7 linked regions of the Neurospora crassa OR74A genome follow. The protein of the gene in region 1 purifies or fractionates together with the protein of each later gene. This does not show direct contact. Links are inferred from orthologs where the notes say so. Each region holds a gene or a part of one and is shown in the gene's direction. Other genes may lie near its edges.

What was found.
Region 2: the proteins of NCU07547 (region 1) and NCU00981 purify together in Saccharomyces cerevisiae (affinity purification with mass spectrometry; 6 studies listed by BioGRID, with this or other methods). This does not show direct contact. The link is inferred for Neurospora crassa OR74A from reciprocal best matches to the Saccharomyces cerevisiae genes MRT4 and NSA2.
Region 3: the proteins of NCU07547 (region 1) and NCU00925 purify together in Saccharomyces cerevisiae (affinity purification with western blotting; 10 studies listed by BioGRID, with this or other methods). This does not show direct contact. The link is inferred for Neurospora crassa OR74A from reciprocal best matches to the Saccharomyces cerevisiae genes MRT4 and NOP7.
Region 4: the proteins of NCU07547 (region 1) and NCU00794 purify together in Saccharomyces cerevisiae (affinity purification with western blotting; 5 studies listed by BioGRID, with this or other methods). This does not show direct contact. The link is inferred for Neurospora crassa OR74A from reciprocal best matches to the Saccharomyces cerevisiae genes MRT4 and RSA4.
Region 5: the proteins of NCU07547 (region 1) and crp-4 purify together in Saccharomyces cerevisiae (affinity purification with western blotting; 3 studies listed by BioGRID, with this or other methods). This does not show direct contact. The link is inferred for Neurospora crassa OR74A from reciprocal best matches to the Saccharomyces cerevisiae genes MRT4 and RPL5.
Region 6: the proteins of NCU07547 (region 1) and NCU05289 purify together in Saccharomyces cerevisiae (affinity purification with mass spectrometry; 6 studies listed by BioGRID, with this or other methods). This does not show direct contact. The link is inferred for Neurospora crassa OR74A from reciprocal best matches to the Saccharomyces cerevisiae genes MRT4 and NOG1.
Region 7: the proteins of NCU07547 (region 1) and NCU02511 purify together in Saccharomyces cerevisiae (affinity purification with mass spectrometry; 6 studies listed by BioGRID, with this or other methods). This does not show direct contact. The link is inferred for Neurospora crassa OR74A from reciprocal best matches to the Saccharomyces cerevisiae genes MRT4 and NOP2.

What each region holds. Positions count from the first base shown.
Region 1 is NC_026503.1:4,412,045-4,415,526, reverse strand, and holds NCU07547 (mRNA turnover protein MRT4), read left to right. Parts: upstream 1-1,499; 5' UTR 1,500-1,734; coding exon 1,735-1,925; intron 1,926-2,019; coding exon 2,020-2,587; 3' UTR 2,588-2,982; downstream 2,983-3,482. UniProt on the Saccharomyces cerevisiae protein: Component of the ribosome assembly machinery. Nuclear paralog of the ribosomal protein P0, it binds pre-60S subunits at an early stage of assembly in the nucleolus, and is replaced by P0 in cytoplasmic pre-60S subunits and mature 80S ribosomes.
Region 2 is NC_026501.1:6,508,714-6,512,216, reverse strand, and holds NCU00981 (ribosome biogenesis protein NSA2), read left to right. Parts: upstream 1-1,339; 5' UTR 1,340-1,523; coding exon 1,524-1,526; intron 1,527-1,643; coding exon 1,644-1,662; intron 1,663-1,738; coding exon 1,739-2,024; intron 2,025-2,169; coding exon 2,170-2,611; intron 2,612-2,678; coding exon 2,679-2,714; 3' UTR 2,715-3,003; downstream 3,004-3,503. Other genes in the region: NCU00980 (hypothetical protein), read left to right, coding at 1-644. UniProt on the Saccharomyces cerevisiae protein: Involved in the biogenesis of the 60S ribosomal subunit. May play a part in the quality control of pre-60S particles. Under normal, rapid growth conditions, high levels of NSA2 would allow the progression of pre-60S particles through the ITS2 processing.
Region 3 is NC_026501.1:6,705,681-6,709,826, reverse strand, and holds NCU00925 (pescadillo), read left to right. Parts: upstream 1-1,415; 5' UTR 1,416-1,543; coding exon 1,544-3,535; 3' UTR 3,536-3,646; downstream 3,647-4,146. Other genes in the region: gpit-2 (glycosylphosphatidylinositol transamidase 2), read right to left, coding at 1-758, 841-994; NCU00926 (hypothetical protein), read left to right, coding at 4,014-4,146. UniProt on the Saccharomyces cerevisiae protein: Component of the NOP7 complex, which is required for maturation of the 25S and 5.8S ribosomal RNAs and formation of the 60S ribosome.
Region 4 is NC_026501.1:7,142,010-7,146,020, forward strand, and holds NCU00794 (ribosome biogenesis protein Rsa4), read left to right. Parts: upstream 1-1,211; 5' UTR 1,212-1,362; coding exon 1,363-1,712; intron 1,713-1,772; coding exon 1,773-2,766; intron 2,767-2,831; coding exon 2,832-2,957; intron 2,958-3,022; coding exon 3,023-3,106; 3' UTR 3,107-3,809; downstream 3,810-4,011. Other genes in the region: NCU00795 (membrane bound cation transporter), read left to right, coding at 1-334. UniProt on the Saccharomyces cerevisiae protein: Involved in ribosome biogenesis. Required for processing and efficient intra-nuclear transport of pre-60S ribosomal subunits.
Region 5 is NC_026505.1:5,646,510-5,650,024, reverse strand, and holds crp-4 (60S ribosomal protein L5), read left to right. Parts: upstream 1-1,430; 5' UTR 1,431-1,605; coding exon 1,606-1,608; intron 1,609-1,800; coding exon 1,801-1,838; intron 1,839-1,919; coding exon 1,920-2,784; 3' UTR 2,785-3,015; downstream 3,016-3,515. Other genes in the region: NCU04332 (epoxide hydrolase), read right to left, coding at 1-889, 991-1,125. UniProt on the Saccharomyces cerevisiae protein: Component of the ribosome, a large ribonucleoprotein complex responsible for the synthesis of proteins in the cell.
Region 6 is NC_026504.1:5,445,455-5,449,654, forward strand, and holds the start of NCU05289 (nucleolar GTP-binding protein 1), read left to right. Parts: upstream 1-1,400; 5' UTR 1,401-1,592; coding exon 1,593-1,624; intron 1,625-1,680; coding exon 1,681-1,710; intron 1,711-1,811; coding exon 1,812-1,840; intron 1,841-1,905; coding exon 1,906-1,923; intron 1,924-1,993; coding exon 1,994-2,137; intron 2,138-2,239; coding exon 2,240-3,300; intron 3,301-3,371; coding exon 3,372-4,016; intron 4,017-4,109; coding exon 4,110-4,151; 3' UTR 4,152-4,200. Other genes in the region: NCU05290 (orotate phosphoribosyltransferase), read right to left, coding at 270-971. UniProt on the Saccharomyces cerevisiae protein: Involved in the biogenesis of the 60S ribosomal subunit.
Region 7 is NC_026501.1:2,564,276-2,568,484, forward strand, and holds the start of NCU02511 (S-adenosylmethionine-dependent methyltransferase superfamily domain-containing protein), read left to right. Parts: upstream 1-1,409; 5' UTR 1,410-1,823; coding exon 1,824-2,715; intron 2,716-2,785; coding exon 2,786-2,822; intron 2,823-2,895; coding exon 2,896-3,084; intron 3,085-3,153; coding exon 3,154-3,669; intron 3,670-3,732; coding exon 3,733-3,890; intron 3,891-3,957; coding exon 3,958-4,209. Other genes in the region: NCU02510 (clathrin heavy chain), read right to left, coding at 1-423, 514-603. UniProt on the Saccharomyces cerevisiae protein: S-adenosyl-L-methionine-dependent methyltransferase that specifically methylates the C(5) position of cytosine 2870 (m5C2870) in 25S rRNA. Required for 60S ribosomal subunit synthesis and processing.

The sequences.
Region 1 (3,482 bases):
GCTGGCCGATGCCTTTTCCATGCCCAGCAAACAATCGGCCAAACGGTCCAGGCCACCGGCATGGGGACCTTGTTGTTGACATGGTTCTGCGCCTCCAATCTCTGTTCAACTTCAACTTTAATCTGAACCCCACCCCGCCGGTTCTGTAGTGTATGTACACTACCAGTATACCTTTAGACTATGTAAAAGCTTTTCGTTTTCGCGGCGAATGACTCACGCAACACAAGTGAGGATCCGGCAGTCGAATTGGGGCGGCTTATGGTAAAAAGGGATAGGCAAAATTGCGGTTGCCGCGTGGCTGGGCTCACACGGCGTGCAACCCACCGACCGATCAAAAAGACCTCTCGCCGTCAAGATTGGGGGGACTTTAGTTCTCTGGCAGCTTCCAAACTCTTCTCAGTCTTAAATCCGAGAGGAAACGACCGATTGGCGCACCAAGTGCGAGCTTGTTTATCTATTGTCTTACCTTATCGGCCAAACCAAGACACTTTTCATTAGCTGCGTGCCGTTCAAGTCGGTACGTACCTATGTTGTTTTAACCCGTTCCCCGGATTTGCACTAAGCCCTACACTTGGCTTGACATCACACTGCGACAAATCATCATGTCCATCGGTGGCCGGTTGCGTTCCCGACAGCATCTCATCTTCTCACGCAATGAATTCAGGTGCCCTTGGCAGCATCACTTGACATCAAAGGAGGGGCTCGTCTTCTTTTCGTCTTGACATTCGTGTACTGTCCAAGGGCGTGTCGTTTGATGGCAACCACCGGGTGTCTTGTCTTCAACGGCCTGACCGTCGTTGTGAAGCCGCGGGACGAAACGCCAATACCGGTTGCTCCAGATTAGCTCACACATTCTCCCGTATATCCGTCAGACAAACGGGAGGGAGTCATCATTCGTGAAACCTGAGGAAGTGAGCCCATGGCGAAGGTTAACCGAACACGCGCTGTTTTCACACTGTCCAATTTGCCGGGATAAGTGAGCTGAATCCACGGAACTTGTTTGAATGCTTTCGATATGGTAATTCCCAGGTCAACCTCTTCAGGAAGGGCTTTGGTGTCCAAGCAACAGGCGCAAATGACTGCAGGCGAGCTACATAGGCCCGAGGACAACAGAGGATGAGTCTTGTGAGTTGTCGACTATCGAGGTGCGCGTTTCCATTAGACCTATGATTGTTTGTTGGAGACATGGAAAAGGAAAGCAACATAAGTGCAATTCATGTCTATCGTGATTATCGATAGAAGAAGTCAAGCAAATGTCAAAAGTTGGGAGGGAAACGATCAAAAACGAATCTCCAAACAACGTCGATACACCAGGGGAAACACAACAACAGGGATGCTGGCTGCACAGTTCAAGGTGGGGTAGGCTGGCCGCAGTCCATTTGGGTGGGGCCTGCCAAAATCAATTGTGGGGGAAAGCCTATCAATGGCTCACCGCCCAAAAGTTTCGCGCGGCAGAAAAAAAACAAAAGTCAGCGATAGGCGACTGCACCACAGCACCGCCGGCACGGCAGAGGCTCCCGTCCCGTCTGTCTGCGTATCAATTGGTGATTCTGATCCTTCCATTCCACTTCCACTCTTGATTCATTTGGGTAGTTGTCATAACCAAAACCAATCTACACCACCAACAACCATCTTTTCTTTGCCACCATAGTTCTGTCTCTGTATCGGCATTGTTATTGTGCGCTTCATCTCTTGTAATCTTTACATCCATAACCACCCACACATACCGTCAAGATGCCCAAGTCCAAGAGAGCGAAGGTGTACAACCTCACCCAGGTCACCAAGAAGAACCGCGAACAAAAGGAGAAGCTCTTTGAGAACATCCGAGAATGCATCCCCAACTACCAGCACTGCTTCGTCTTCAGCATCGATAACATGCGCAACAACTACCTGAAGGATGTCAGAAAGGAGCTGAACGACTGCCGGTATGTTTGTTATTGTCCACCTTCTTCCTACTCAGTAGCCGAATCCAATCGCAATCGCAATCATTGACTAACACTTCTTCTTCCCGTGCTACAGCATCTTCTTCGGCAAGACCAAGCTCACCGCCCGCGCTCTCGGCACCACCCCCGAGGACGCCCAAGCCGACGGGCTCGACAAGCTCTCCAAGTACCTGTCCGGCTCCGTCGGCCTCATCTTCACCAACCGCGACCCCTCGGAAATCAAGGACTACTTCGTCAACCTGACACAAGTCGACTTTGCGCGCGCCGGCTCCGTCGCCACGCGAACCATCACCATCCCCTCCGGTCCCTTGTACTCCACCGGTGGCGAGGTCCCCGCCGAGCACGACGTGCCCGTCTCCCACACGCTCGAGCCCGAGCTCCGCCGCCTGGGCATGCCCACCCGCATGGTCAAGGGCAAGGTCTGCCTGGGTGACGAGGCCGGCGAGGGTGACGATTACGTTATCTGCAAGGAGGGCGAGACGCTGGATTCCAGGCAGACGAGGCTGCTGAAGCTGTTCAGCATCTGCTTGAGTGAGTTCCGTGTCAAGCTGCTGGCCTACTGGAGCGCGGCGAGCGGGGAGGTTACCGAGTTGGAGAAGCCTGGTGAGGCTGGTGCTGAGGAGATGGAGGAGGATGACGAGTAAGGGATGTGTTCATGAATGATACCCTGAAAAGAGGGACGGTGTGTATGTGGTTGCACTTGACGAAGCGGTTGGAAAGGTTCATGATATCAAGAAATCTGCCGTACGAGAAGGGGAACTCCCTTCAACTTACAATAACGCAACATCGAGGGACCCAACAAGAGGGTGTGGGGAGGGGACCGGTCAAAATTTTTGCAAACGTCATTATTTCTCGTTTTTTTACTACTTGGCTTGTTTCCGTGTTTTTACATAGGGAAAGGTTTACGATGATACCATCTTTGTATGGAACTTCTTCTTTTGGGGAACATAAAACAACCGGTCATCTTAGTTTATGTATTACCAGGCGTCTTAAGAGATAGGAGGGGGCAAAGGCTCACGAATAGAAAAAGGCTTCAAAGACAATGTCCTGTATGTGATGCTGACTTCTTGTGATGTTCATCGTTGTGGCACGGCTGGTATAACGAATGATCAAGTCCGCCAAACCATTACCAAAGAGAAGGACAAAGTTGTGTCTATACAACAAAACTCGAATGTGCGCAGTATTTACTTGCAATATCACGGAACCACCAAGCCCTATGACAATTTTCCTCAAACGTCAAAAATAAGAATTGAAAGAGTAGAATAACCCAACCACAGAGTGCTCGAAGAGCTAGCAGAGATGTAAGAAGGCAATACAATTTTCGAACCTGACATGCATCATCATCATCATCTCCGCATTCCACTACACAAACTTACCAATTCTAGAATAGTTTTTCAAGGCCCTTTCCATGTTGACATCGGACACCAAGTTTCTTCCTCTTCTTCTTCTTCTTCTCGCTCAAAAGCGAAATGAAACCAGGTCAAATTCATTCAGTCTTTAGGATATGCAAAAGGCTGATGTATAACCCCCCATCTCCCA
Region 2 (3,503 bases), on another chromosome or scaffold:
AACGCAAGGAATTAAAGGCCGAGGAAGCGAAAAAGGGCAAGAAGGATGTAAGGCCACCGACTACCGGGAGGAGCGGTGTGACAGCTGGGCCAACCCGCAATGGTACCAACGGCACGACTGCGAACCGTCAGCGGAGTATCACCCCCTCAGCCCCGGCTGGCGCCAAGTCCAAGACAGGCCAAAATGCCGTGGAGGAGAAGAAGGTAAAGAAGGCTGCTTTAGCGACGACTGGATACCAAGGCACGGCACGTCCCCGCCCAGGGGCCACCACCACAAAACCAGGAGCATCCACCTCGGCAGGCGCAAGTAGGGGCCGTGGGCTGTCCGGTTATGGCGCCTCATTCTCACGTCCCCGGAGACGCGAGGAGGAGGATGAAGAGTTGGACGATTTCATCGAGTACGACGAAGATGAGGACGATGGCTACGGCTATGGTCGTCGCGGTGGTTACGAGTCACTGGAAGAGGATGACTCAGACATGGAGGCGGGATTGTCCGACATCGACGCGGAGGAACGCCGGGCAGAGTTGCAGGCTCGCAGAGAAGACATGGAGCAGGAGGCGCTGGAGAAGAGGTTGAAGCGCGAGAAGGAGGAAAGAAAGCGGGCAGCACTTGCAAAACTCAAGTCCAGAGCCGGAGACCGCTGATATGTCGTGGTTGCGTGGCGTGTCTCCTTCTTTCTTTTGCCTCTAAATTGGGAAGGTTTCGGCGCATCGTGATAATTTCAAGGCAGGAATTCGTTTTCTGGAGACGGTTTTGCAATGGCGTTGGCTGGAAGACAGGACGGACACCCAGAAACATTTTGCATCAGCGTCTGGAGTTTAGTCATTTTGCACGGATTCCGGTTTCATTGGCGGGCGTTGGCTGGCAATAGAGCCCGTCGGACGAATTATAGTATAGGTTGTCATGACACGGTGTAGCATATCTAGATATCTTAACACCCCCAAGCATACCACGTCTTTGGGTTTTGCCTTTGTTGACATACCTACTGTGCTCGTTGAAGCGGGTTATGCGAGCCACACAACTAGTGTCCCTTGGTAATAACCTAGTTGCAGGAGCCATTCTACGAATGGTAAGGTGATCTCCGGATCTATACAAAAGTTGTCCACTGGCCTTCCATCAAGGTTCTCGTCCTCAACGGGCGGCTCTGGCTGCCGCGGTGCACTTCCAATGCCCTGCAGCTGGCAGGCACCTTCATCCGAACCCACTCCACGTTTTCCTGGACATGCTGTTAAGTAGATATCAACCAATGACAGGTGATGAAGCTGCCCCACTATGTCCACCTCTTTACGGGTCTCCGCCACTGGAGGAGCCGCCCGATAAGGAAAGCTAGCCTTGAATGGTTTTTTTATCGGCTTCAAGACGTCCGTTCAGCAGGCATTCGCATAGGTAGAGGTACTGAAGCATATTGACCTAAACCGCATCGTCATTCTCGTCGCCCTTCGTCGCCCTACAACATCTGAAGGCCAGATTGCGTCGCCACATATCTTGAACCGCAAGACCCTCAAAGGGCCTAAAACACCAATATGGTACGGATATCATTTCTTCGAATTGCCCTCCCAATCCACAGCCACTCTCCTCAACATCATGACCCCTTCCGATCACTTGAGAGCAGACCATGCTAACCGACGTTTTCCTGAATACAGCCTCAGAACGAATACATCGGTATAGTTCCCTTCGCACTCGATCTTGATTACCGTCGACCTGTTTCCAGTCCCTAACCAATTATTTCGTTTCGCAGAACGCGCCCAGAAGCTTCACGGTAAGCGTCTGGACACCGAGGAGCGCGCACGCAAGAAGGCTGCCCGTGAGGGTCACAAGCAGAGCGAGAATGCACAGAACTTGCGTGGCCTGAGGGCCAAGCTCTTTGCCAAGGAGCGTCATGCCCAGAAGATCCAGATGCGCAAGGCCATCAAGCAGCACGAGGAGCGCAATGTCAAGGGCGCCCCCGAGGAGAAGGACCCTTCGAACCCCGTTCCCGCTTATCTGCTCGACCGTTCGAACCCCACGAGTGCGAAGGCTTTGAGGTACGTCACTTGAATGGGAGGACACATGAGAAGCGAACGGCCGCGGCGGAGGTGGAGGCCAATGTGAATGCAATGATGGCAGTAGTCATGGAGGTTGGAAAGGGTCCCATACGATGACGAGAGACTGACCGTTTTCTTCGTGCAGTTCCCAGATCAAGAGCAAGCGTGCCGAGAAGGCCGCTCGTTTCTCGGTCCCTATTCCCAAGGTCAAGGGTATCAGCGAAGAGGAGCTTTTCAAGGTCGTCAAGACGGGCAAGAAGGTGCACAAGAAGGGCTGGAAGCGCGTCGTCACCAAGCCAACATTCGTCGGACCCGATTTCACCAGACGCCCAGTCAAGTACGAACGCTTCATCCGGCCCATGGGTCTCCGTTACAAGAAGGCCAACGTCACCCACCCTACCCTCAATGTCACGGTTCAGCTCCCCATTCTCGGCGTCAAGAAGAACCCCAGCAACCCCCTTTATACCCAGCTTGGTGTTCTGTCCAAGGGTACTATTATCGAGGTCAACGTTTCCGATCTTGGTATGGTCACCGCGTCGGGCAAAATTGCCTGGGGTCGTTATGCGCAGATCACCAACAACCCTGAGGTATGACCAGCACAACCCCGCCTCTTAACTTTACATGGACGAACTGCTAATACTTAACTTCCACCAGAACGACGGATGCTTGAACGCTGTGCTCCTGGTTTAAGCGCAAGAGTGAAGAGGGTGATGGTTTGATTTGTCTAATTATATGTCTAGTCTCTTGGGCGGCAACTGTAACGGGATTGCGTTAAATCTGATTTTGCATCTGGGACTGGCGTCTGGTGTTTTGAAAGAGGATCGACACTCACGGCCGCGCAAAATATCTCGTCCGGGGGTTCACTTAGGTAGTATAGTGGTTAAGATACACACACAATCTGCGGTAGAACATTATACCCTCCGATCATTTGTTTTGGTTGATTGTATCACCTGATGGTTTAGAAGACATGGATTAATACGATAAGACACATAGATATATCTTCTCTGGTTGCTGCTGCGCTTGATCTAGGTTGACTCCCATGGGTTTCGAGCAGACTATGCTGGCAAGCGATTAACCTTACAAAGGTCTAAATGGCTGTATGGAACCCTGCATCCTGAGTCGATGGAAATTTGCTGGTCGATTTGACATGCAACACCGCAAGCAACTAACGCAAGGGCAACACATTGACTTCTACATCAGCTCAGAGCATCTAGCTTGTCTTCTGTATCTTGATTTTAGAAGGAGAGCAGTTCCGAGCTTCATCACTCCAGGGTCAACCCAGCCTCCAAGAATCAAAAGCAGGTATTTTCTATCCAGACCGACGAGTAACTTCTGTACTCTTCAAGCCCACTTGCCACCACTCAACGGTCAACGAAACGCTGATACCGTACCAACGAAGAGCTACTCGAAGCGATATAAAGAAGCGATTTGCCCATGTCTCGGGATCCTAGCTTTAATGGCCCCGGGAAAGCGCAGGAA
Region 3 (4,146 bases), on another chromosome or scaffold:
CACGCTCAACCCGCCAACATATGACGACAAATGCAGCCAAAAGACGGCCAAGAAGAATGAACGGAACGAGTCGAACATCTCGACAAAGAAGTACCACCACAGGCCGATATTGGGGGCCAGGTCAGACAGTGTAAGTTGCACACCATAGGTGGAACTAAGGAACTCCCATGAGCCGGTCAGGAAGAACGACATTTGGAAAAGCACTGCCAGAGCACCAAACGCATCCATAACCATGGTCGCGGTAAACTTGATCCACGCATTGGGCGCTCCGGTAGCGGGCAACTTCTGCCTGTCATAGCAAAGAAGAATGAGAGGCGGGAGGAGGAGTAGCGGATACATGGAGAGGTATGATGCGAAGGCTAGGGCGACCATGGCGTGAAAGGGTCTGCCGGAGATGGCATTGGCGACGGCGTGGAGAATGGCACAGGTCGTGAAGACGGTGGTCGAACGCCCAATGCATGTCGCGATGGTGAAGGGGTTGAACAGGAAGAGCGCGGCAATGATGGCACCACTCCAACGCTTGTCACGGCGCGGGGAGGTGAAGCGCGCAGACGAGCTGGCCTCGCCAGACTCTGCAATCCTTAAAAGAGCATGGGCGCTCAGAATATCGATAGCGATGTAGAGAAGGTACGTGAAGATGGGAAACGCCGCGAAGCTCGGGAGCAAGTTGAAGATGGGCAGCAAGAGGGGCGCCTGGTGGTAGACGCCGCCATCGTAAGGAGAGACGTTATGGTTATACAGGAAGAGGCCTTCTTGGACTAGATTTTGGTAGTTAGCAAACCTGTGTTCCTCGAGACGATGCGACGAATGCCGAAGAGAAAAACAAAAGCTACAACATACGGCGCTTGAAGCTTGTTACTGGCGTTGAGATCTCGACACGGCCAGTCAGGAGGTCTGGAAGACCGGGGAACAGAGTAAAGAGGGCAAGTCGCAGGACGGCAGCACCGGCGTATAAGCCAGCCGTCCTCCTCAACGTTACCTTGCCGCCATTCATTGTTCAATTCGCCATACGACGAGGTGGGAGCTGTGATGTCGAACTTGTCCCAGGGTCAAGTTACTTCTAACGACATGCCCGTCCAGTTGCGCTATACAGGAGTCGCGCCCAGCACGTTAGGTCGCCTTGTCAATCGCTGTCCCCGCCAAAGCAGACCGACAGCTGGCCCGGCCTCCACAGCTGGCGGGTCCCTGTGGGACAAGGGGTTCTGGAATCCAATCCAGACGGGAGCGGGAACCTATCTGGGCCAGACGGGCCCAGTATGTATTCTAGTAGCCTCATCTGTGCCTATCTGATGCCTCCCGTCTTTCCATCCGCTACGTTATCTTATCTTTGATCAGCTCAGGCGGTGGGAAGTGGCATAAAAAGTTCAGGACCGCGAGGGTCAGAAAAAAAGTTGATTGCAAGTGCACAGAGCGCCCCCACCTACAATTGGCTTCGATAACGATCGAGTCTGCAGACTGAAGAGATCCATCCTTGGTCCTCTTCTCCTTCTCTCACTCTTCCACCTACACCCAACAACCACAACCACCACCACCACACCCCAAAATGCCAAAAATCAAGAAGAAGGGCCAGGCCGGCGCGGCCAAGAACTACATCACCCGCACACAGGCTGTGAAGAAGCTGCAGCTTAGCCTTCCCGACTTCCGCAAGCTTTGCATCTGGAAGGGTATCTACCCGCGCGAGCCTCGTAACAAGAAGAAGGTTTCCAAGTCGGCCACTGCCTCGACCACCTTCTACTACACCAAGGACATTCAGTACCTCCTCCACGAGCCCCTTCTTCAAAAGTTCCGTGACCAGAAGGTGCTCGAGAAGAAGATCTCCCGTGCTCTTGGCAGAGGTGATGTTTCGGATGCCGCCCGCTTCGAGCGCCATGCTGCCCGCCCCGAGGCCACTGGCAAGCCCAGGTACACTCTCAACCACGTCATCCGTGAGCGCTACCCGACTTTCAACGACGCGCTCCGCGATCTCGATGACTGCTTGTCCATGCTCTTCCTCTTCGCCAACCTCCCTTCCACGAGCGCGGTTCCCGCCAAGATGATCGCCCGCTGCGAGCGTCTCTGCCTCGAATTCCAACACTACCTTATTGTTTCCCACAGCCTGCGCAAGTCGTTCCTGTCGATCAAGGGTATCTACTACCAGGCCAACATCCAGGGCGAGGATATTCTCTGGCTCGTTCCCTACAAGTTCAACCAGAGGATCGTCGGCGATGTCGATTTCCGCATTATGGGCACTTTCGTCGAGTTCTACATGACTCTTCTTGGATTCGTCAACTACCGACTTTACAGCTCGATCGGCCTCAAGTATCCTCCCAAGTTCGACCAGCTCAAGGACGAGAACGGTGCTGAGCTCGGCGCTTTCTCTCTGGAGGGTGTCAACATGGCCACCCAGGGCGAGACCAAGGCCGTCACAAACGGGGAGGAACAACAGCAGGGTCCTGACCCCAAGGTCCAGGCTGAGGTTGACAAGATTATCAAGCAACTGAAGGAGGACGAGTCCAAGAGCGACGAGACTGCCGAGGAAGATGCCGAGGCCGACGATGAGGAGAAGCCCACAGACTCCATCGACAAGTTCGAGCCAGTTGCCCCTGGTGGTGATGTTCTTCCTCAGCCGGCGTACAGCAGCAGTGACCCTTCGCAGCTGTTCGCCAACTTCACATTCTACCTCTCCCGTGAGACCCCCCGCCAGCCTCTCGAGTTCATTCTTCGTGCCTTTGGCTGCAAGAGGATAGGCTGGGATTCCGTCCTCGGCGAGGGTGCCTTCACAAATGACGAGTCGGATCCCTCCATCACCCATCACATCATTGACAGGCCAGTCGTACAAGCCGCTACCAACGAGGATGGCGATGGCGAGGACAATCAGACGGCCCAGAAGGTCGGACCCAACCAGAGATACCCCGGCAGGATATATGTCCAGCCCCAATGGGTATGGGACTGCGTCAACGACGAGGAACTCAAGAGCCCTGAGCTCTATGCTCCTGGCGCCGCTCTCCCTCCCCATCTTAGCCCCTTCGTCAAGGCCGCCCCTGGCCAGTACGATCCTACTCTGCCCCTTGAGGCTCAGCAAACCGAGGCCGAGGCTATTGAAGCCGACCTCGAGGATGCCGAGAAGGGTAATGCTGAGGATGGTTCCGATGTCGAAAACGACATGGATGTTGATGAGGCCGAGGACGATGAAGAAGAGGAGGAGGGTGACGAGGAGGATGCCGAGGAGGCCGAGGAGGAGGATGCTGAGGAAGATGAGGAGGAGTCCAAGACCCTCCAGCGTCAGCTTGAGCTAGAAGCCGAGCTCCAAGGCAAGAAGGTGCAGAATACAAAGGTAGACTCCAAGACCAAAGCCAAGCTAGAACAGCGCAAGGCTCTTGAAAAGAAGGCACGCGAGGAGGCGGAGGACCTGGAGCGCGCCAAGGGCATGCTGAGCAAGAAGAAGCGCAAGCTGTTTGAGCAGATGCAGTATACCAACAACAAGAAGAGCGCTCAGGACGAGAAGCTCCGCGCCAAGAGGAGAAAGCTGGAGAAGGAAAAGGCGCAGAAGGCGTAAGGTTAAAACACTGGCAAGGCGTAATTTTTTAGCACTTTATGTTTTGAAATGGGATACCAAAGGCTCATTTTTCTCTTTTCTTTTTGTGTAATCGACAAGTTTTGAATCCTACTCGTCGTCCTGAACTGATGCAAATGTGAATAATCGTGACATGAAAACGAGCGCCCACGAGGCTTTCGTCTGAGGGTTAGGGGTCGCTACGAACCAAACCGTAACGCCCAAGAGAAGTTGGAACGAACCGAAAATAGGACCAACGAAAGGTGAGAGTACAAAGTAAAAGAATTGAGTGAGGAGTCAGAGGTTCATCAGTTTCTCCATCCTTGTTGCTGTGGTACTACTACTGGGATGCTTTCGTACGTCAGTGCGGTTCTTCGACCTTCAATCTCTTGTCACTCCCGTCCTTAGTGATTGATCACCAGAATTTGCACTCAACAACCCTGCCAACGCGGGAAGAGCACCCACTAAACTGGGCCATGCAATGTCTTCACACTTGAATCAAGAAGATTCCGGCGACGAGGATTGGGATAAGGACACTGAAGAGATTAATTCCATCGCATCAGATGAACTGCACGAAACCCGCCCCAATCGGTGGAATGGGGCCCCCTCCACAT
Region 4 (4,011 bases), on another chromosome or scaffold:
CAATGCAGCTGAACACATCACATCTGTGAGCGTGGCACTCAAGAACAAGATGGACTTGGCACTGGGCGTGGCACTGGGCAGCAGTATCCAGATTGCGCTGTTTGTGACGCCGGTAGTGGTTATCTTGGGCTGGATCATGGATCGAGACATGTCTCTCTACTTTACCCTCTTCGAGACTGTCTGCATGTTCGTTAGCACCTTCATTGTGAATTTTCTCGTTAGAGATGGGAGGAGTAACTACCTCGAGGGAGCACTTTTGGCATCTGCCTACCTCATTATCGCCGTGGCAGCGTTTTACTTGCCAAATCCAAGGTTGGCTAGCTCTGTTGGGTAAGGGTGAAGACAGAATTTAGGATGGGAGGTCGGAGTGTGTAGGCTACCTAGGTTCGGATGACAGATGAACGGTTATGGTTGAGGCCCAGACCGAAGGAGTAGTTTGTCTTGACTAAGGAGGTTTAGGCTTTTGCCAACAGCCATATCAGTAATTGTCGTAGCAGAGGCCGCATCAGATGCAGTATCAAAGCTAGTACCAGAGCCAGTGCCAGCCGTGACCGTACCCGACTTGGGACCAGCAGCAGCCGCAATACTTTGCAAGTGGCATTGGGAAAGCGAAAACCCGGGCAGCCTGGAATATCGGGACTGCCGGTCAATGAGAAGCGAGGGGAATGAGAAGTTTGGTCAATAAGTAGAGATAGTTGACGAGTATCCTGGTGAAGGGAATCCAGGGTATAGCGATTCCTCTGGACGTGGGCGATATTTGAGGGTCTGGGTCACCTAGACAAAGGGAGAGAAATGAATTTTTGTGCCTTGTGTAGTAGTATAGAGAAACAAAAAGGCGTCATGTCGGAACATGAATCCCCTCCGGAGGAGTCAAGAACAGCCGGGCGATGCTCATGCTGGGTTCATACATAGATGGGAGATCACGTAGGGTATACAGTATAACAGCTGTTGGGAAGCAGTGGTGACGACAAGTGGGAGTTGACTCGGAGTGTTGGAATGTTTGGAGATGGGATGATGATGACATGGGATGATGCCCGATGGTTCAAGTGGAAGGTTTGGATGCAGACGCACTAACAGCGCTAAATCGTAAACAGCCCTGGCCCAGCTTCGTGATGCCCCTGTGGAGACATGGGGAAAGCAAGTGTGGGTCAGAGCTCCATTGGAACTGGACATGCCAAGCCAGTTTTGCACGCCATCACCGCCAAAATTTTGGACTGTCCGCATTCTGCTGGGTCCAGCCTTTGCAGGGGCAGCAAGTCCAGTGCAAACCCAGAAGGCCCCCAATCCATCAACACTTCCTGGAAGTCGGGCGAGTATCGCAACACACTTTCAGCGACAACTTCTGGCACAACATAATCCAAGATGGCGACAGTACTACCACCCCCGTCGAAGCGCCAAAAGAGAGAGGAGATTGAGCGCACCACAACACAGCTCGATGTCGCCCCGATACTGGCGCCTGAGCTCGGCTCCTTCAAGGCCAACTTCGTCGACAGCGATGGCAACCAGATGACCGATGTCATCGAAATCAACTTTGCCGATGCCACCGAAAAGAACATCTCCGTCTTGCTCAACACCCTGCTCGAGAGGGACCGCGAAGAGTTCACCCCATACCGATTCCGCATCCATATTCCCGGCAAGGATATCATTGTCGACCAGTACCCTTCCGACCTCCTCGGCCTTCTCAAGCAGCATGGTGTCGAGAACCCCTTCGAGTATGCAAGACCCGGACACAGGAAGCCCAGCACGTAACTGCTTCGCTAACCTCCGCATAGAACCACAATTACTCTTAGTGCCGAGCCCCAGGCTGTTTTCAGGGTACAAGCAGTTTCGCGCCTTGCCCATCGCATTCCCGGTCACGGCCAACCCATCCTCGCAGCCCAGTTCTCGCCTATTTCATCCGGACGCCTTGCTACCGGCAGCGGCGACAACACAGCTCGTATTTGGGATACAAATACAGGTACCCCGAAGCACACATTGAAAGGGCACACCGGCTGGGTCCTCGGCGTCAGCTGGAGACCCGATGGAGAGCAACTAGCGACCTGCAGCATGGATGGCACAGTGAGGATATGGGATCCCGAGGCCGGCAAGCCCGTTGGTCAGCCTTTCAAGGGCCACGCCAAATGGGTGTTGATGACGGCGTGGCAGCCGTACCACTTGTGGAGAGACGGCACCCCTAGGATTGCCAGTGCTAGCAAGGATGGTACCTGTAGGATTTGGGTTGTCAACACAGGCCGTACCGAGCACGTCCTGAGCGGTCACAGGAGCTCCGTCGCCTGCGTGCGATGGGGTGGAACCGACCTCATCTACACGGGTTCGCACGATAAGGTTGTCCGGGTATTCGACGCCGTCAAGGGCACCTTGGTACACAGCTTGACATCTCACGCCCACTGGATCAACCATATTGGTTTGTCCAGCGACCACGCCCTGAGGACCGCCTACTTTGACCACACCAAGGACGTCCCTTCCACCGAGGAGGGCAGGAGGGAGAAGGCCAAGGAGCGTTTCGAGAGAGCGGCCAAGATCAATGGCAAGGTTGCTGAGCGCATCGTATCTGCCAGTGACGACTTTACCATGTACCTGTGGGACCCCACCAACAACGGTACCAAGCCCGTTGCTAGACTTTTGGGACACCAGAACAAGGTGAACCAGGTCCAATTCTCTCCCGATGGCACTTTGATCGCCTCGGTTGGTTGGGATAACAGCGTGAAGCTCTGGAATGCCAGGGATGGCAAGTTCCTCAAGAGCTTGAGGGGTCATGTTGCACCCGTGAGTTCCTTACCCACATTCATCTCTTACCACGAGGGGAAAGTTCTAACGCGTTGATACTTCAGGTCTACCAATGCTCCTGGTCCGCCGATAGCAGGCTTCTGATTACGGCTAGCAAAGATACTACCCTCAAGGCATGGAATGTGCGCACTGGCACTCTCGCCATGGACCTTCCCGGACACGAAGACGAGGTATGTGAACCAAATCACGGCGACATCGGTGTTCCCACTGCTGGAAAATTCTAACTCGCTTCCAGGTATACGCTGTGGACTGGTCGCCGGATGGCAAGATGGTAGGATCAGGCGGAAAGGATAAGGCCGTGAGGACATGGAGAAACTAAAGAAGAGGGCAAGAACGAACCTTACTCTCCTACAGCCAGCAGTCGGAACCCGAGAGCCCCCGCTCTACTTCACTCGCGGAGGCCTCAGCGGGGTGATATGACTTCTGGCCTGCTTCCGTGGTGTTTGCAGCAGTTTGCCGTTCGCACGAACGAGCCGGCTTGGGATACTACATGCCCAGGTATCTGCCAGAAACAACTTTCACGGCAATCTTCGCGAGCCAAGTTTCCTTGACGTCAGCCTAGCTACTAGTATCGGCTCACCAAAGAGGCCTTGCTGAGTCAATACGCAACACGGCTGCACACATCACCTCGACTCGCAGGGTGGTGATGTTGTGTGGCTGTTAAGTGCTTACCGACTGCGCCTCTGCCAAACTTTCCGAATCGCTGGGCAAGAGCGAAAGAGGCGATGGAATGGGCCTGGCAAATCGGTAAAATCTCCCGCCGCCAGTTCAATGTTACCAAACCGCGCGACCACACACCAAGACCAACAAGACGCTCGAAAGATTTGGAAAATGGAAAGCACCATAGATAGACAGAGACGTGGTCATGTTAAGCGATGTCCGGGGGTATCCATTTGAGGTTTGATAGATGCGAGCATTTGATGGAATGGTTCTCATTGCGCGCATCATGCAGGGCGTTACATAGGTGCCACGATATAGACAAGGATAGTGATATGCATTCATGGCAACCTAGAGAGACGTTGTTTAATCATGACGTTTGGAGCTAGTGAACCAGCCGTTGATGTTCAGAGTTACGAATATGTAACTTTCGAAGACGGCATATGATTCACTTTCCCGAAGCAACAGACCAGAGGTAGCAAGAACCACGCACACTGCAAGCCTTTTTTTTTCTTTTTTCTGAAGCATCCTTCGAAGGCCCGGACGGGAGCTGCCACTGGTCCTATG
Region 5 (3,515 bases), on another chromosome or scaffold:
GGTGATCCCCAGCCAGCTTCAACCCCGTCACGTTCTCCAGCTCATCAACCGCCTCAAACGCCTTTCCCAACCCAACCTTGATAGTCCTAAACCCAGCCTTCCTCGCCGCCTTCAGATTCTCCCCAATGTCATCCAGAAACACAACATCCTCCGGCCTCACCCCTTCTGCCCAACCGCCCCTCTTCCCCCTTTCGGAGTCAGCATTTGCCCTCGCAAACTGATCTACCTTTTCAAGCGCCAACTGATAGATCCTCGGATCCGGCTTTCTTAACCCCACATGCGCCGACGAAATGAAAACATCAAATAGCTGTCGCAACGGATCGCTGAAGAAGTCCCCCTTCTCCGCCCACTTGTGCCCCTCCGGCCAGATCACCGTATTACTCAGTGCCGCGACGACGAACCGTCCGTCTTCCTTGAGTTTTTGGAGGGCGGGAAACATCCAGGGGTCTGGAGCTCGAGCGTGCTCCATCATGTCGTGGAATAGCCACTCGCCGTCGATTTGGGGGATGGGCGGGATCGATAGTAGTTCATCAGAGCCAGAAGAAGAACCAGAAGAAGAAGAAGATGAAGAAGATGAAGAAGATGATGATGATGATGATGATGATGATGATGATGATGATGATGATGATGAGGAGCGGTGATGGTGGTGGTGCTTTTTGGCTTGTTGGTGGTGGTGGTGGTGAGACCGGTAGAAGGATTCCCAGAGGGATTGGTTGTGCAGGTCCCGGTTGAAGCCGGCGAAGAAGGCAGCGTCCATGGGAATGGAACCGGTTTCGAGACGGTGCCAGAAGCCTGAAGGGGCGGAGCGCGAGATGGAGTGGTTGATCCAGCCTGGGGGGATGGAGTGACGGAGTTCGTAGTTGAGGATGGACTGGAAGGGGGAGATGACCTGGGTTTGTGTTAGTTATTTAGTTATGTTGGTGTTGTTTTGTGAGGGGTAGATGTATTTGTGTATATAAGTGAAGTGGTGATGTGGTCATGTTGACTTACACAGACGCCGCCAATGTCAAAGAGGATGACTTTGGGCTTGGGGGACCCGGAGGACCTTTTCCCTTTGAGGATGGTTGGCGCCATGTTGTCGATGGCTTCAAGAATGTATTCAGGGGGAAACTCTTCAGGAAGCATCACACTATAATGTCATGGGACTTTGGGGGTATAAGGATGTTTGGATTCATCTATCAACAACATTGGACCTCCGCACATTGGCACCAGGAAGCGATTAGTGAAGTGAATGGTACACTATACTAGACCTCGGTTCGGGACAGTGATTGCCAGAGGTCGACGGCTACTGAAGCCCGAGACTACTTACAATGCCATTGGCAGAGCCCACAATTGCCTGCCGCTTGCGTGAAATTCTTGGCGCTAGGTCGTCGCCCACCGTGGCGCCACGGCAAAGCATGGGTGAGTGAATCGGTCGTCGCCAACCTGAGTTGACAACCCAGCGGTCAGCCGACCAATCAGGCGCGCTCTTGTTCTTAGGGTTGTGGGGATTGTAGTGCGAAATTCCTGCCCACCAAAGTTTGTTCGCGATCTCGAAATTTCCCTTCTGACAACCCAGCCCGTCTCAAGACCGTTTGTTGAGTGCACCCAGCAAAAGTAGTCAAAATGGTAAGTTGACGACCTACGGCGTGCGTCGCGGCCGTTCAGCAATGAGCGACCAGCGGCTGCGTTCAAATCACACACCATTCCCAGAGGGAAACTTGGGGGAAATTGAGGAGAAAGAGAGTCAACGCAAGATGCTTCGGAGAGGAGGAAATATTCTGAAGCGATAATTGCTGACTCGGGGATTTTGATTGTCAGGCCTTCCACAAGCTTGTCAAGAACAGCGCGTACTACAGGTAAGCAGATGTTCTCTTTTTGAAAATCCGAGAAAAATCGATAGGAGCTCGGGGTTCGCTAACATTCAATCCGCCCAACAGTCGCTTCCAGACCAAGTACAAGCGCAGAAGAGAGGGCAAGACCGACTACTATGCCCGCAAGCGCCTCATCACCCAGGCCAAGAACAAGTACAATGCTCCCAAGTACCGCCTGGTTGTCCGCTTCACCAACCGCGACATCATCCTCCAGATTGTGAGCTCCGAGATCACCGGCGACAAGGTCTTTGCCTCCGCCTACTCCCACGAGCTCAAGGCCTACGGCATTGAGCACGGTCTCACCAACTGGGCTGCTGCCTACGCCACCGGTCTCCTCCTCGCCCGCCGTGTCCTCAAGAAGCTCGGCCTCGACGAGACCTTCAAGGGTGTTGAGGAGGCTGACGGTGAGTACAAGCTCACCGAGGCCGCCGAGACCGACGATGGCGAGCGCCGCCCCTTCAAGGCCTTCCTTGATGTCGGTCTTGCTCGCACCTCCACCGGTGCCCGTGTCTTCGGTGCCATGAAGGGTGCCTCCGACGGCGGTATCTTCATCCCCCACTCCGAGAACCGTTTCCCCGGTTACGACATGGAGTCCGAGGAGCTCGATGCCGAGACCCTCAAGAAGTACATCTTCGGCGGTCACGTCGCTGAGTACATGGAGACCCTCGCCGACGACGATGAGGAGCGCTACAAGTCCCAGTTCAACCGCTACATTGAGGACGATCTTGAGGCTGATGGCCTTGAGGACCTCTACGCCGAGGCCCACGCCGCCATCCGCGAGGACCCCTTCAAGAAGGCCGAGTCCGAGGCTCCCAAGAAGACCAAGGAGGAGTGGAAGGCCGAGTCCCTCAAGTACAAGAAGTCCAAGCTCACCCGCGAGCAGCGCGCTGCTGGTGTCCAGGAGCGCATTGCCGCTCTCCGCTCGGAGTAAATTGGAAGTTGTTATGGACTTTGCTAGGGGTTGAACAACCTTTTGGGAGGAAACAGGTTCTGTTCATTCGATGCGCATGGGTGCGAAATCATCTGGGTCATGGGGATGACATGGTCTCTCAAAAGGGTTCATCTAAAAGCCAATCAACTTTCTTCTGTCTTGAGCAAAAGAGCATTACTCGGCGTTCGTTCATGTGATACCTCAATCGTAATTTGATCTTCCTTTTCCCATTTGAGACTCGACGCTGTCCATCTTTTCTTGTGATTGATTACCTTTCCAAAATCTCCAAAACCGGTGCTGACCGACGGCAAATTCTCGTGAAACACGATTCATGTAAAGTCATCCATACTCTCTCACTTCCACCGCCAAGCAATGTCATTTGCTTGGGGATGAAGATCAACTTTACAAATCTCACGAGTCATTGACCCCTCACGATTCATGGTAGGTTGCTACTGTGCGCTACATGTACACTATAACTCGATACAGGTTTGTTCGTTGTTTGTTAGTCCGAGACCTTCTAGCCAACTTGTCCCGGCCTTTCAACAAACAATTCAAGGTTGATGTGTGTTTTTCTTATCGATGACGGGATTCTCAAGATGAGTAGAGCTAAGGTATGAATTCATATCTAATTGGACAAACTGGACAAATTCTGTTTTTTTGCCTCCCCCTCCCCTTCCCCATTTGTAACTTTTATATATTTTTCTCCGAGTTCCATTGATCGCGCGGCATTC
Region 6 (4,200 bases), on another chromosome or scaffold:
GAAATCAACATATTTCGGCGCGTCCCCAAACTTGTGGAATCAGATTAGACCTTCTGTGTGGGATCCCAAAGTCGGTGGAAAGATTGATTGGATGCGCAATCAGAACCTGACAATCCCTATCCTTCTTCTTCTTCTTTTCTTTCTTCATCTTCTTCTTCTTGTAGAGTGTCAGCCACAGGTTTGATGTTGTGGCTATGGTCAGAGGGTACTGGGCGAACAAACCTGTGATATACATGTTACTAGTTTATCAGAGAATCCAACTCCAGCGTTTAGTCGGTAGCCTTGTACTTGGCGCGGTATTCCTCCGTCTTCTCGACGTCCTCAGGGGAGGCAAGACCCCTCATGCCCTCAATGATGTCGTCCAGAGTAAGGATGGCAAAGATGGGAATGCCGTACTCCTTGCGGAGCTCGCCCATAGCACTGGGGCCGGGCTTGCTATCGTCACCATCAGCGGCAGGGAGCTTCTCCATGCGATCAAGAGCAACGACGATGCCAGCGACAATGCCGCCCTCCTTCTCGATCTTGGCGATAGCCTCACGCTTAGCAGTGCCAGCAGTGATGACATCGTCAACGATGAGGATCCTCTTGCCCTTCAGAGGGGCGCCAACAATGTTGCCTCCCTCGCCATGGTCCTTGGCCTCCTTGCGGTCGAAAGAGTAGCAGATCTTGCCGTAGGTCTCGGGGTCAAGCTGGGCAAGCTTGTCGGTGGCAGCAGTAGCGAGGGGAATGCCCTTGTAGGCGGGGCCGAAAACAATGTCAAAGTCCAATTGGCCGCTCTTGTGAGCCTCGATAATGCACTTGGCGTAGGCAGTGGAGATGGCCTGGAGAAGGTCGGCACGGTAGAAGTCGCCGGCGTTGAAGAAGTAGGGGGAAATGCGCTTGGACTTGAGCTCGAAGCTGCCGAACTTGAGGACGCCGCCGTCGATGGAGGCCTTGAGGAAGTCAGCCTTGTAAGGCGAGAGAGCGGCCATTGTGCTGGTACGTAGTGTTTGTAGGATTGGAATTGAAGCTGAAAGAAGAAGAAGAGATTTCAGAAGAACAGCGTTGACGTCTGTCTGCCTGGCAACTGAATAGCTGGAGGAACCTGGGGAAAATTGAGAAAATGGAGGGAGGGGCCGAAGGAAGGGTTCAGTTCCTGGCGGCGTCACACGCGGCAGTCTTTCAACCGAGTCAATCAGATGGTGGGTTACGAGTGGGCCACCTAGTTCCAGGAGCCAGGCCCGCGAAAGCCCGGTCATCGGCCACTTGGGCGCGGTGGGGTCCCTGAAAAAATGTGGGGTTAGAAAATCCTAAATTCCACACTAGCCGAATCCTTAAGCACCCCTTGGCAGCATGTCTTGGCAGCGCACACTACCTCTAGGTTCAATCCACTTTGGCACTCTGCTGTTATCTTATCGATTGGAGCAGCCGCTGGAAAAATATTTCGAAGTAGACTTTCCATTTGGCAGCGCAGCGCCTCCCCGTCGCCCTCCAACACCGCCCCCTCCCCCCGCAGCCGGTCTCTATCCTTCAGACCGTCCGTCCGACCTCATTGTCCTGCACTTCCAGTCCGAGATCTTCTCACCAGCAAGTGCTTGACATCTATACCCGAAATGACGTGGAAGGACATTGCCCCTGTGCCTACGTAAGGACATCTTGGTTGTTGTGTTGTTGTTTGGCATCGCTAACTCGCTTCTACAGGGCACAGGAATTCATCGACATCATCCTCTCGTAAGTCGACATCGGCAGCCCCCAACCACGACGATGCGAAGTCTTCGAGTTCGAGTCCAATGGCTTGGCCACGGTGGTGAAGGATATTAACTGTTCAACAGGAGGACACAGCGTCGCTTGCCGACTCAGAGTATGTTGTACAATGTGGAAAATTACGTGAAGCATGGCATGATCGCTAACCTTTACTTTGAATAGTTCGTGCTGGTTTCAAGAGTATGTCGTCTCGATATCCGATACTTTGTATGAGAATTCGAATAGATCATTGACACGCGACACCGAACAGTCAGCAGAATTAGAGCCTTCTACACCCGTAAGGTCAAGTTCACACAGGAAACATGCAGCGAAAAGTTCGGCGCCATCGTCTCGAGCTTCCCCATCCTCGCCGACCAGCATCCTTTCCACCGCGATTTGATGAACATTCTCTACGGTACGAATCCCGCGCTTCCCTGCGACAGGCGGTTTCAGCAACAGCGGGTTGTGAACCGCGCCTGGTCTTGTTGGGAATAGTGGCTGACAAGGTGATGGATAGATGCCGACCACTTCAAGGTTGCCCTTGGTCAGGTCTCGACCGCCAAGCACTTGATCGAGACCATCTCTCGTGATTACGTCCGTCTCCTCAAGTACTCGCAAAGTTTGTACCAGTGCAAGCAGTTGAAGAGAGCCGCCCTCGGTCGTATGGCCACCCTCATCAAGCGTCTGAAAGACCCTCTCGCCTACCTCGACCAGGTCCGCCAGCATTTGGCCAGATTGCCCGATATCAACCCTACCACCCGTACCCTCCTCGTTGCCGGCTTCCCCAACGTCGGCAAGTCTTCGTTCGTGCGCTCCGTCACCCGCGCTGATACCCCTGTCGAGCCCTATGCTTTCACCACCAAGAGCTTGTTCGTCGGCCACCTCGACTACAAGTACCTCCGTTACCAGGTCATCGATACCCCTGGTATTCTCGACCACCCTCTCGAAGAGATGAACACCATCGAAATGCAGTCAGTTACTGCCCTTGCCCATCTCAGAGCCGCCGTCATGTTCTTCATCGATATCTCGGAGCAGTGCGGTTACTCGCTCAAGGCCCAGTGCAACTTGTTTAGGTCCATCAAGCCCCTTTTCGAGAACAAGATGGTCTACGTTGTCCTGAACAAGATGGATATCAAGACCGTTGAGGACCTCGACCCCGAATCCCAGGCCGATCTCATGGACCTTACCAAGTCCGGCAACATTCAGCTTTTGCGCGCCTCTTGCGCTACTCAGGACGGTGTCCAGGAAGTCAAGAACACCGTTTGCGAGGCTCTCCTCGTTGAGCGTGTCAACCAGAAGTACAAGGCCGGTACCAGCAGCAACGGCACCATGGGCTCCCGTCTCACCGAGGTCATGTCCCGTATTCACGTCGCCCAGCCCGCCGATGGTGTTCTCCGCGAGACCTTCATTCCCGAGGCCGTCAAGGGTCTCAAGAAGTACGACAAGGCCGACCCCGAGAGGAAACTTCTCGCCAGGGATATCGAGGAGCAGAACGGTGGTGCTGGTGTCTTCAACGTCGATCTCAGGGAGAACTGGATCTTGGCCAACCCCGAGTGGAAGTACGACAAGATTCCCGAGGTCAGTATCTCTCGCATTCCGTCTCCCCCAAATTAAACCCGGTTACTAACATGTCACGCTTTGACGAACAGATTGTCGACGGCAAGAACGTCTACGACTTCATCGACCCCGATATCGAGGCCAAGCTGGCCGCTCTCGAAGAGGAAGAGGAGCGTCTCGAGAAGGAGGGCTTCTACAAGTCGGACTCGGACCTCGGCGACGAGTCGGAGGAGGAGATCCTGCAAAAGGCCGAGTACATCCGCGAGAAGCACAAGCTGATCCGCAACGAGGCCAAGATGAAGAAGTCGCTCAAGAACCGCGCCATAATCCCCCGGAAAATGCAGAAGAAGTCGTTCGCCCAGCTCGAGGACCACATCGACCAGCTCGGCGTCGACACCGAGGAGATCAACCTGCGCGGCCGTGCCCAGGTGCGCGAGCCCACTCGCGGCCGCTCGCTGGCCCGCAGCCGCAACGCCACCGAGGACCCCGACGCCATGGAGGTGGACACGCCCAAGAGCGCCGCCGAGCGTCTTCGCTCTCAGAGCCGTCCGGCCCAGCGTGGCCAGGGCGCGACAAACAGGCGCGACGACGGTGTTACTGGTGGTGTGGGCATGGACGGGGAGACAGCCCGCTCCAAGGCCGAGAGGGTGGCCAAGCTCGGCCAGCGCAAGATGAACAGGATGGCCAGAGCCGGCGAGGCCGACAGGCATATTGGTGCTACCATGCCCAAGCATTTGGTACGTCTTTTTTCTTTTCTTTTCCCCTTCCTTCAATCCCCCTTTTCTCTTTTCTCTTTTCATTCCTAAACTAACCACACATGTTTTCTATAGTTCTCCGGCAAGCGTACCGTCGGCAAGACACAGCGTCGTTAATTTGGATCGATGATCCATATATGTTTGGGTTGGGTTGGGTTGGGTGTGT
Region 7 (4,209 bases), on another chromosome or scaffold:
AACCATCCACTTTCCGTCGGCGCTGGTCCGATAATTAATTATTTGGTTGCCCTGGAGATTAGCATTACGATCGAAGACCTTGACCGGAGCGGGCTGGTTCGGGTCGAAGACATCCCAATGGTAAACAGAGCCATCTGTGATCAAGCCAAGCGTGGTCTCGCTAACCCACTTCCAGAACAAGACATCCTCGCTCATGTTTGTCGACTTGAGCTTGGCCTTGTTTTCGAGGTCGAAAATCTGGAGTGTGCGCGCCTGGGCCTTGAGGGCAATTACTTGGCGCGTCCAGTGCATTATGGCACTGTCGGCCTTGATGGGACGTCGGATAACATTATTGCCGTTCTTGAGATCGACGATGATGACTTCAGGGGACGCTGCCTCGTCCTTCTTGTCGCGAATACACACCCAGTTGTCCGATTCTAGAGTCTGGGAGCGGGGGGTTCACGTCAGCAGGGGTGCCAGAGGAGGCGCGACAACTGTCACTAGCAGAGTCAGAGCAAGGTGAGGACAACGTACACAGGTATTGAAAGTGATGGCAGTCTGGTTGATGCCGAGGGCGCTGAGTTGCAGCAGCTCCTGGAATTTGATGGGTAGGGCCTGAGCCATGATGGGCGGTGGTGTTGCGCTAAGCTGCGCGCAGAGTGACGAAGATTAGCAGCCAACTTATCAAAAGCGGCTGGAAGGTGAATCCGCTGGGAAGTAGAAAGATTGGGGAAATGGAGGCTCGTGAAGCTCCGTGGACTGAATGGAATGGCGGCGACGTGAAAGGAGGCGGTGGTGGTGGTGGTTGGTTGTACTTTGGGGGGAAAATGACCGAGCTCCCGAGAAATGGGGAGGGGGAAAGAGGACGGATGAATCAGGTAGGTAGAGGTAGGTAGGAGGTTGGAGGTGGAAGGATTAACGCAAGGTCCAGAAGGCAGGTACGCAGTAAAACCCGCCGCCAAACTGTGGGTGAGAGGTGAGTCGCGATTTGCCGCTCAGTTACAGATACGTAAAGTAAAGGCGAGCAGGTACCTCGATGTCACCTCACTTCAATGCTCCAGCAGAAAGAATAGAGAAGAATCGCGGTTGTTGAAGGATGCAAAGCAGCAAGAGGAGACGTCGTTTGTTACGGGAAGTTAGTACCGTGAGAGATGAAAGATACAGCAGGAAAGATGGAAGGTGCTGAGGTGAGATGCCTCTCCAGCTGTCCAGTGTGTTTGTACATGCCGCAACTGTTCAGCGCAGACGGAAGGTACCTCTAGTACCTCTCAGGTTACCTGCCTGCTTTTGAGTGATGTGTTAACACGGGACCTCGCGGCCGGGGCGTCCACCGCCCACCGGCGCCGGCTCCATTCAGTGCTTCCCCCTGCGTCGGGTGCGCCTAGACCAGGCGGCAGGCGCCTGCCCGGGAGGCCTGCCTGCCCCCTTCGCTTCAAGCTGTCCGCCCGGTCCAGGTTGCCCGCCCTCATCCCGTCATCCTTCTACTTTCCTTTGCCCGCATTGATCGCCTCTCCTGCGAGGTCCGTCAGACGGTCCTTCCATTTCCTACCTCTAGGTACCTTATACCTCCAGGCCGCCTGCCTCCGGGGGCGCCGTTCATGCCGGGCTCCAGGGGCAGCTGTTCCCTACTCCAGAACAGCCCAGCTCCAGGGGTAGCGTCAGCTGTTGCTACAGGGATTCCGAACTTGGCCCAGCTTGACTAATGTGGGGCACTGACCAATGGCTCACCTTTTGGGACCGCAGTGAGGTGGAACCCGATTTGAGGAAAGAGACTTGGCATTGCTATCGATAAGCTTTTTCAGAAAAGAAAATCGACCCGGAGAAATATCCACAAGCGCCTGTCGATGGTGGGCTATCAGTGTTCAAACCAACCCCAACAACATCCCAATCACCACCAGACGACCAGCAATACCATCAAAATGGGTGTCGGACGTCGCATGCAGAAACAGGGCCCTCCTGAGCCCCTCTCGGAGGAGCACTTCGCCAACCTCAAGCGCAAGAAGGGCATTCCCTTTGACGAAACCACGACCGAAGTCGACACTAGAAGATCCAAGAAGCAGAAGATTGTCAAGAAGCAGCCCAAGACATCCGGCTCCAACACTGTCGCAGTCAAGGGCGCCAAGAAAGAGGTCAAGGAGGTGAAGAAGACTGGCACAAAGCCCGCCCACAGGTCCAAGGAGTCCAAGAAGCCTAAGAAGGCAAAGCAGCCTTCGCCCGATCATGACGAGGAGATGGACGACGAGTTTGGCGCGTCCGACCTGGAGGGCCTTGATATCGACGGCGATGAGATGGACGTTCAAAAGCTAGGAGACGATTTCCTCGGCACTGACGACGACTCGGTTTACGATTCCGACCAGGACGGTGCTACCAAGAAGGAGGCATTCGTCTTCTCTGACGATGAGGATGACGAAGAGGATAGAGAGGAGAAGCTCACAGCCGCCAACATCGAGGGTCTTTCGAGGAAATTGGATATGCAAAGAGAGAAGGAAGCAGAGGAGAACGAGGCCGAATTGCGCGACGAGGCGCTCCAGACCAACATCGCTGGTGGTGATGACCTCGGTGATGACGACGACCAACTTCAGACTAAGACCAAAACTTTGCTGGCACCCGATCTCCAGATGTTGAGAACGAGGATAACAGACGCCATCCGTATCCTGGACGACTTTTCGAATTCGGCGGAAGAGGGCAAGAGTCGCGCCGAGTACACCAGCCAACTCATCAAGGATATCTGTGCCTGTAAGGACCCGATGTTCCTTGCGCAATACTTCTCGTGAAATGCACAAATGTTAACTTCAGGTTTTGCCAGACTACGGTTACAACGAGTACCTCGCTGAAAAGCTTTTGTATGTTTTACAACCTGTCGCATGCCTGTCTGCGGCGATACCACCAGTGGGGAAACTGTCTGACTGTTTGTAGCAACCTGTTCCCTCCCAGAGAGGCGTTCGCCTTTTTCGAAGCCAACGAGAGTGCCCGCCCCGTCGTTATCCGTACAAACACCCTCCGAACACATCGCCGCGATCTTGCCCAAGCACTCATCAACCGCGGTGTCACACTCGAGCCTGTAGGCAAGTGGTCCAAGGTCGGTCTGCAAGTCTTTGACTCGAAGTACGTATATTCTAAATCAGGACTACAACGACGCGATTCATGCAAATGGCTAACAACTGGGGCATAAAGCGTTCCCCTCGGTGCCACGCCTGAGTATCTGGCTGGTCACTACATCCTCCAGGCCGCGTCTTCGTTCCTGCCCGTGATGGCTCTCTGCCCCCAGGAGGGTGAGCGTGTTCTCGATATGGCCTCTGCCCCCGGTGGCAAGACCACCCATATGGCGGCGTTGATGAAGAACACCGGTGTGATCTTTGCGAACGATCCCAGCAAGCAGCGTGCCAAAGGTTTGATCGGCAACATTCACAGACTGGGCGCAAGAAACGTTATCGTATGCAACTACGATGCGCGTGAGTTCCCCAGGGTCATGGGTGGCTTTGACAGAGTCTTGCTCGATGCCCCATGCTCGGGCACTGGTGTCATTGCCAAGGATCCCTCTGTTAAGACCAACAGAGACGAGAAGGACTTCCTGCAGCTCCCCCATCTCCAAAAGCAGCTTCTCCTGGCTGCCATCGACTCGGTTGACCATGCCAGCAAGACTGGTGGTTACGTTGTCTATTCGACGTGTTCCGTTGCCGTTGAGGAAAAGTGCGTTTTCCATATCGTTCTTAACTGTACTTTCAGAAGACGCTAACCCAAGATTACAAACAGTGAGCAAGTCGTTGCCTATGCGCTCAGCCGCCGTCCCAACGTCAAGCTCGTCGAGACTGGCTTGGCTTTCGGCAAGGAAGGCTTCACCAGCTTCATGGGCAAATCATTCCACCCCAGCCTCAAGCTCACCCGCAGATACTACCCCCATCTTTACAACGGTACGTTTCGCCTCCTTATACCCCCTTTCCCTCCCTCCCCTCCTTCATCACTAACACAACCCTCCAGTCGACGGTTTCTTCGTCGCCAAGTTCCAGAAACTCGGCCCCACGCCCGCCACTGCTGTCCGCGCCAACGGCGTCGACAAGTCCAACAAGCCTCTGGACGGCCAAGCTTCCCAGGAAGCCCAAGAAGTTGTCGACAAGACGCCCATTGGTGCCGAGTGCGAAGCCCAGGATGACTTTGGCGGTTTTGATGATGGTGAGGACAAGGAGTACATGGAGCGCGCTAAGCGCAACGCTATGCGCAGGAGAGGTTTGG